2 linked regions of the Coturnix japonica genome follow. The protein of the gene in region 1 interacts with the protein of each later gene in a biochemical or structural test. Links are inferred from orthologs where the notes say so. Each region holds a gene or a part of one and is shown in the gene's direction. Other genes may lie near its edges.

Region 1 (3,647 bases):
CAAAAATTATTAATGTGTTGGAAAACACTCTTCTTGAAAAATGCTGCACAGCATTGTTCATGCGTGGCTTTTTCATTTACAGACAAAGGGTTCATTCATCTAGAGCCTCAGTTTAGCCCTTTGGAAGCTGTCAATCTACATGAAGTCAAAAATTTTGTCGTCGATGTGCAGGCGTACCCCGCTCCAAAAATGTACTGGTTGAAGGATAATGTGACTCTGATTGAAAACCTTACTGAGATTGTTACTAGTTCAAACAGAGTCCAGGAAACACGGTAAAAATACTCTTATGAATCTTACTTTGCCACGATGACTCAAGTGTTTCTCCCCTAGAAACCTGAGAACTTCTGCTTTCTCTTTCCACTGCAGTTCTTCCTCAATAACATTTAAAAATCCTATGTTTTCTGCTCTAAAGGGTGATGCCTTAATAACATTAACATCTCTAAACCATACAAATCTTGGATTCTAGGTACTAACCCTCTTCAGTCCCTCCAAGAAATCTTCTCTCTAATTATCTTTAGCTATTTCTAGAAACATCGCAGTCTTCGTTGGAGCCAAGCAGGATATAATAATGCCCACTTCTTTCTTGGTTGTGTTTTGGTGACTATTTACTGTTTGAACAATGATTTTAGTGCGAAGGCATGCCAGAAATGCTGAGTGTCAGCACATTATAATATCCGTGTGTCCAGATTATATGTTGCATTGAAGTAGATTTTTTATGCCTGCTTTCAACATACAAACAAAATGTAAAAATACAAAAATATAAACCAAAACTCTCATTTCTGCAGGTTTCAAAGTGTACTAAAATTGATCCGGGCCAAGGAAGAAGACAGTGGGTACTATACTTTGGTTGCTGAAAATGAAGATGAGGTTAAGAGATACACCTTCTCCTTGCTAATACAAGGTAATGGCTTCAAAAGCCTTCCTTACCAGAACTGATGGGCCACAGCATGAATTTGATCCACTTATGTATGGGTCAACAATGAATACTGGATTGCCTGGGCTATAGAGATAAGAGAAGTGTGAACTGGGGTGTCTGGAGCAGTGCATGTCTGCTGAGTCCTCGTAGCTCTCATACTGTAATCCTGGCTTTGACTTCTGCACTGGCCTTGTGCCAGAAAGAAACTTTATCCTCCTGTCTAAGTTATTCCAGCTGACAGCGGGAACGATAACTCATTTAGCATGACATGAGGACGTGGCATACACGCAGCACTTTCTTTTCATCGCTCTAGCTTGTGATACCCTGTGTTCTTCAGCAGACAGGGACCTCCTGGCCAAGTGGCTCTAGATGCCACTAAGCTGTCAGACAAACAGTACCTGCCCTGCTTTGTTTGAGATTTCAGGCTGCTCTTTTAGACCCTGTTGAACGTTTTAACAAATTCTTGACTCCTTTCCAGTTCCAGCCTTGATCTTAGACCTTGTGGATGACCACCAGGGCTCCACTGGCAGGCAGACAGTGAGGTGCTTGGCTGAAGGGACCCCGCTTCCTGATGTGGAATGGTTGGTTTGCAAGGACATTAAAAAGTAAGAAGAAGAGGAACTTTGTTATCTAAAACATGACTCCGTTGTTCTTGGCTAGCTTAACATTATTAGTTATCATACCGTGTTTTCTTCATCAAGAGCCAGTAAGCCATAATTCTGATGTCTTTTTGGAGACACACTGCTTATATTTTGAGAGGTTTTCAGTACCCTTCCTAGTGTTAATGTCCTATAGAAGAATACACAATGCATCCATTTAACTTTGATAAAAGTTCTGTGTTCAATAATTGAATGTAGTAGATCTTAAAGTTAACTGTCTTTCCATTCTGAGGACTCCTGCTACTTCACAGGTAGCCCTGTTGCCTCATTAATACTCTTGTGTGCTTCTAAATTTTCACTTGGACAGTTTCTCCCCAGATTATAATTTTCACCTTCTAAGACTTCTAGACACATGTAGTAATCATTCCTGGTTTTGCTAGTTCTAGACTGTTTTCTTCTGTAGCTGCTGGGAACTGCTGAGCTCTCCCTGGGAATCTGTAAGGATTCAAGGAAAAGGAGACTAAAGGAATCTGTAAGGATCCAAGGAAAAGGAGACTAAACATGAAGGGAGGCTAGGAGCCCTGGGACCTCCCAGCTGTGCTCCACTCCCACTGCACTAAAATCTCCTCCTGCCACCTGGGACAGTTGTCCTCTTAGCCCTGCCCCAGGAAGCCTTGTATGGCATGAAGGATTCAGGCAGAAGTAGAGATCCACTGCTATAACTCTACAGGATATGAATGATGCAGGCTTTTCACAGAGGTGGTCTTAAGCATTTCTTTAAAAATATAATTGACAGAAGAAAGGCATAGGAAAAGATGATTCCCACTGTGGTGACTTTTTATCTACACCTACATCCAACATGTATTTCCACTGTCACTCTCTGCAGATGCAGCAATGACACTTCCTGGACTCTTCTGACTAGCAACGTCTCTGATATACACATGGAAGCCCACTTGGATGAGAAGAATATGGTGGAAAGCCAGGTGACCTTCCAGAAGGTAGAGGAAACCCTGGCTGTCAGATGTGTAGCAAGAAACGACCTTGGCGCTGTTACTCGGGAACTGAAACTTGTGGCTCCCAGTGAGTTTGCTTTGTCCTTCTATGAGATTACAGAAGCCATCTTAACCTCTCGTTAACATACCTCATTTTAGTCTATAAGAAAGCTTAGTAGATAAAAACATAATCTGCAGCAAATAAGAATAAATGAAAATGGATTTTATCCACCAAGGAACAACTGAGAATGAAGCATTTTACAGGTCTTTATGGGGTATCTGATTTGTTTTATCATTTCATTATGATTGGTCATGGGATGTTCTTCTAAACAAAGTAGACAGTGTAGCTCTGGTCTCAGAGAGGCTTTACAGTTACCAACTGTCACGAGTTACTTAGATTTACCTATGCCCGTGACAGGGGAAGCCACCCTGTGCCCCCCCCCCCTCCCCCCCCGGCGCCCAGAAAGGAGGGGGAAAAGGGGAATGGGATAAAAAACAGTTGGCAATCTAAGGAGGAAAAACTATTTTACTAAGTATGATATCGAAATACAACATAACACATATAATATAATTGCAGGCTAACGAATCGAACGAAACAGAGAGAGAGAGAGTCCCGAAAAACTGAGAGGCCTACTAATGAACTCTAGGCGTACACGCTCTGGAACGCTTCCCACTTCTCCGAGAAGTTCGAGAGAAGAAGGGCACTCCAGCCTCGGGAACAAGATTATATAGCGTCCTGGTTCCGTGACTTATCATTACCCCTGTTGTTCTCTGGGATTATGTTAGGACTTCTTCTGTGCCGGACTGCACATTCAATAGAGTATGCCATGCTTACATGATGTTATGATGTGGAATACTGATAGCAAATACAAAACCATGGGACATTCCACCCCTTTCTAACATTAGTACGATCATGGGTAGATATATATACAATATATGCCACGTATGTAAAACTATGATAGCCTAAATAGTAGAAATTGCATGTACATAACAAATGTACAACTATAATAACTAAATACACGTAACACTGCAACATATAATCTAATATAGATACATAAAATTATTAGACTTGCACTCCCCCAGCATGCAAATGCCCTATGTGGTACACATGCAACATCCCCATCACTGCTGACATACCCA
Region 2 (4,252 bases), on another chromosome or scaffold:
AAGTTGCTACAGGGGAGGTTCATGTTGGATATGAGGAAGGATTCTAATTCAGAGAATTCTATTCTCAGAAGGAGCGGTGCTGCAGTGGCACAGGCTGCCCAGGGAGGTGGTGCAGTCACCGTCCCTGGAGGTGTTCCAGAACCATGTGGATGTGGCACTGAGGGACGTGGGCAGTGGGCATGGTGGGGATGGGCTGGTGGCCATTGTACTGGGTGATCTTAAAGACCTTTTCCAGACTTAATGATTCCATGATTCTATGATTCTGTAAGCCTTGGCATGAGGGCTCTTCAAGGAGAAATCCTAGGGCCAACGATGGCTGCAGTTGGAGGATGAAGCATAGGGACACCATGACACATTCCCACAGGATGAGGTGGGAACGTTCCCTTTCTCCTGACCTTAAGTTTCCCTCCTCTCCATGCGTATCTAAGCTGATGAGACAAAAAATGCCCTGCTTCCCCCTCCCTCCTTGCAGAAATAGTCGGACTTGGAATTCCCCTCTACCTCATGGCTGGGGACACAGGGTCTCACTGGTGATCTCAGCCCAGCAGAAACCTTTCTTTGCTGAGGGCAGGCAGCAGCAGAGCAGGAGGCTGGGAAGGAGGAGGGGAGCCATGGCAGGAAACCAAGAACACATCAGACACTCTAAATTTAGATCTTTTTATTCAGCTCGGACAATATTCCTTGATTTCTCATTGTTCGGCAGAGGGCAGAGGGCAGGGGATCTATTGAAAGGCTTTGTCCTGAGAGATGCCACTTTGTCTGGGCACAGGGGGGCGGAGGAGCCACAGATTGGGGCAGACGGGGGCACCCATCCCACTGCTCCAGTGTTATGCTTGGGCACCTGTGCAGTCCCACTACCCGCAGGGTACCTACCCCCTGTACCCCATCCATTCTGGGGAATGCGGGCTGTGGATCCCTGTGGTGAGCGGTCCCCATGCCAGCGGGGCAGCGGGCGCAGAGTGTGTAAATACAGGGTAAATACACACCCGCTCTATACGTCTCTCTGCCTTTCCGGCACTGCAGCTCAAAGTCTATTTTTAAACTCCCTCCTTTATTACACACACCAGCAGATAGCCACGGCCTGCCCACCCCCATAGCAAGGTGCTGCTCTATTGTGCGCACAGCATGGCGACAGGGTATGTGGTGGGCCACCGACCTGCTCCTCTGCCCATTGCCATAGGGCAATTCGGGGTGCCCAGCTGCGTGTGCACTATTGCAATGAAGCTGCAGGGTGCACATAGCCTGGGATGATGGCTGTGCAGAGCCTGTGGTTGATGGCAGGTTGATGGGAGTGGGATGCAGCATCACCAGAGCCACCCAGACTGGGGTGGGCACACCCAAACTGGGTGGGCAGGAGGATCTCGTGGGGCTTCCCCTCCCCTGCCCATTCTCTGCCCTGACCACACATGCAGGGCTTGTAGCACGTCTTGCTTCAGCACACACACATATAGCAGGTGGAGGGGGAGGCAGAGCTGCTTGCTTTTGGTTTTCGACCCTCATATCTTCATTTCACATCATGAGTCATGTTATGTTCTGAGCTGAGTAACTTCTGGGGCTATTTTTACTCCAGCTCTGCGAGCTTCCTTCTCACCACCGCCACCGCCACTCACTGTGCACCCAGGGGCAGAGGATGGGGATGAGGTGAGTGGAGGGGCTGTGGGCAGGGATGGGGCCGGGGGTGGAAGGGGGAAGGATGCCCAGCTCCTCACCCTGGGAATGAAAATAGCCAATGCCTCGTCAAAAAAAACAGCTGACCCGTGGTGTGTGGCGCATTCACACACACATATATATATTTGTTATACCAGGAGAGGGGAAAAGGGGGAGGGAGAGAAATTCCTTTCGAGTGCTATTCACCAGTCTGGAAAAATAAAGAAGGAAAGCAGAACATTTTTTCCTTTCATCAAAACAGGAAAGAGAGGGGGAATGGGGTGGGGAGCAGATCCATAGACATAATGGATGGTTGCCAGAGTAAGGAAATTGTTCCCTTCTACCCCAAACTTGGGGGTGGGGGGGGAAGAGAAATATCTGATGGTGTGAGCAGAGAAGACTGCACTCCCTCCTCTCTGCTGTATGCCTGCAGGAAAGCAATGGGAAATCAGTGTCCCCAGCTTTGCCCTCCATCCCTGAATCCTGCTCGACCTGCATGCTCCTAGAATTGTAGAATCACTGGAGTCGGGAGAGACCCTCACAGGTCATCCAGTCCCACTCCCCTGCAATGAACAAACAGATGAATCAGGCTGGCAGTGAGTGGTGGTGCTTTGCTTCTCCTTCACCTCAAGGACTGGCACAAGCCCTCTCCCATCTCCTGCTGTCAGGGTCAGTGCACTGTCCCAGGGATGTGTTGTGCTCACATTTGCCAGGTCTCCTTTGGGAAGGGGTGAGCAAACAGACAAGGTGAGGGGCAGGAGGAATTCCTCTGCCATGGAGCTCCTAGAGGAAGCCTGGCAGGTCCTACCAAACTCCTTGCTCTGGGGTCAAGTGCTTTACTCATCCTTGGAAAGCACTTTCCCTGTCAGCGCCAAGGGCAAGGAGGCAAATTGTGCAAGCCTTGCATGCCCTGAGGCTCTGCTTTTCTCAGGCACCAGATATAAACAACAAGCTGCCTGCCTGTCTCTGTCTCCTTCCTTTGCTCCTCTTCCCCTTTCCTCCTGTCTTCCTCCCATAGACTAAACCCAGCCATCAGGAAGCTGTGGCAGCTTCATCCTGATGGCTCTGTTTGGGATAAACCCAATGACACCATTCCCCGTGGCGTAAAACAGATGCACCCCAAGAACCTCCCAGTGCAAAGCTGCTCCCCTCCATTGACAGCAGCCACGGGGAGAAGGTTGGGGATGGCTCACTCTGCTCCAGGAGCAGTGCAACACCCAAACTAGGTGCCTTGAGTGGGCGGGCTGACTACACGCGGGCTGTCAACACCTCCTAATTTCTTTCCATTGATGTTTTGCAAAGGATTCATCACCGAGAGGCTGAGACACCTCAGCTGTTTGGATTGAGTCTTGCTTTCCATTGTGAACCCTGTTTTGCTTTCTGCTGTTTCACAATACTCAAAAAAAAGTGGGGGTGGGGGAAGGGAAGATAAAGAAGATATCACCCTAACATTGTGCCTCTGTGGATGGTGGCAAGTAGATCATTTTTTCCACCAGTGTAAGAAGAAGGGATGGTGGCCTCACATCAAGAAGCCATGTGTCGCCCTAGGGCATGTACTGACCTCCTCCCTTGTGATTAGATAATAAGTGAAGAGCACAGCTGTTTGCAGCTGGGGAGCTGCTGTGCTGGTGAAAGAGTTTGAATAAGAAATCCCACTACAGGTTCTGAAGGAAATCTGTTTGTGTTGCACTTTGTCTGGGGGCCACTGCCAGCCACCATGGTTGCAACAGGAGCTTGTCAAGTTGCAGTGCTCCAATCTGTCCACTCTATGTAGCCTTGAAGCATCTTCCACTGCAATGCAATGGCACTGGGCTCCAAGCCCATGTGCTGTGAGATCTGTGGCACTGATCATAGAATCACAGAATTATTAGGGTTGGAAAAGACCATAAGGACCATCTGGTCCAACCGTTAGCTCACCCCCACCATGCCCACTGACGACGTCCCTCAGTGCCACATCCACACGGTTCTGGAACACCTCCAGGGAAGGTGACTGCACCACCTCCCTGGGCAGCCTGTGCCACTGCAGCACCGCTCTTCCTGGGAAGAAATTCTTCCTAATATCCAACCTGAGAGCTCCATCAGTGGACTTGCAAGCCTCCACCCAACAGGCCATGAGAGGGGACAATAGTGGTCCATATTAAACTTAGGGGTTCATAGAGTAGATCATGAGCTGATTTCACAAAAGCAAGAGAATAAAGGGAACACTAATCTCAGGGCACAGTAGTGTTGAGTGCATGCAGCCCTGCTGATCTCAACCCCAATGAACTTGGTGGAGTGAGACTGGCACAGACTGAATCTCAGTACCTCACTGAAGAAAAATCTGTTCCTGTCTTAAAAGCAGAAAGAGCAAGGCAACACGGCTGAAGCCCGAGCATATCGCATATCGTCTTGCTCTATTTCCAGGCAGGGTCATAGGTAGATGATTAGTCAAATTCCAAACATCCTCTTCCTTGCTGTCTGGAGATTCGGCGGGGATTAGCTTTTTGTTTCTGATGTCGAGCTTCTAAAAACCGCCCTGCATCATCCACGTGAAAATAAATAACTCTATTTCTATCCCAGCTCACATGTAACGTAGCCGGATATTATAAAAAATATAAGCACGTAG

What was found. The genes of interacting proteins can lie anywhere in the genome.
Region 2: the proteins of PDGFRA (region 1) and PDGFB form a complex in vitro, tested with the Homo sapiens proteins (3 studies listed by BioGRID). The link is inferred for Coturnix japonica from reciprocal best matches to the Homo sapiens genes PDGFRA and PDGFB.

The regions. Positions count from the first base shown.
Region 1 is NC_029519.1:59,024,547-59,028,193, reverse strand, and holds part of PDGFRA (platelet-derived growth factor receptor alpha), read left to right. Parts: intron 1-82; coding exon 83-272; intron 273-785; coding exon 786-901; intron 902-1,394; coding exon 1,395-1,521; intron 1,522-2,401; coding exon 2,402-2,595; intron 2,596-3,647. UniProt on the Homo sapiens protein: Tyrosine-protein kinase that acts as a cell-surface receptor for PDGFA, PDGFB and PDGFC and plays an essential role in the regulation of embryonic development, cell proliferation, survival and chemotaxis.
Region 2 is NC_029516.1:46,279,091-46,283,342, forward strand, and holds the start of PDGFB (platelet-derived growth factor subunit B), read left to right. Parts: upstream 1-1,354; 5' UTR 1,355-1,641; intron 1,642-4,252. UniProt on the Homo sapiens protein: Growth factor that plays an essential role in the regulation of embryonic development, cell proliferation, cell migration, survival and chemotaxis. Potent mitogen for cells of mesenchymal origin.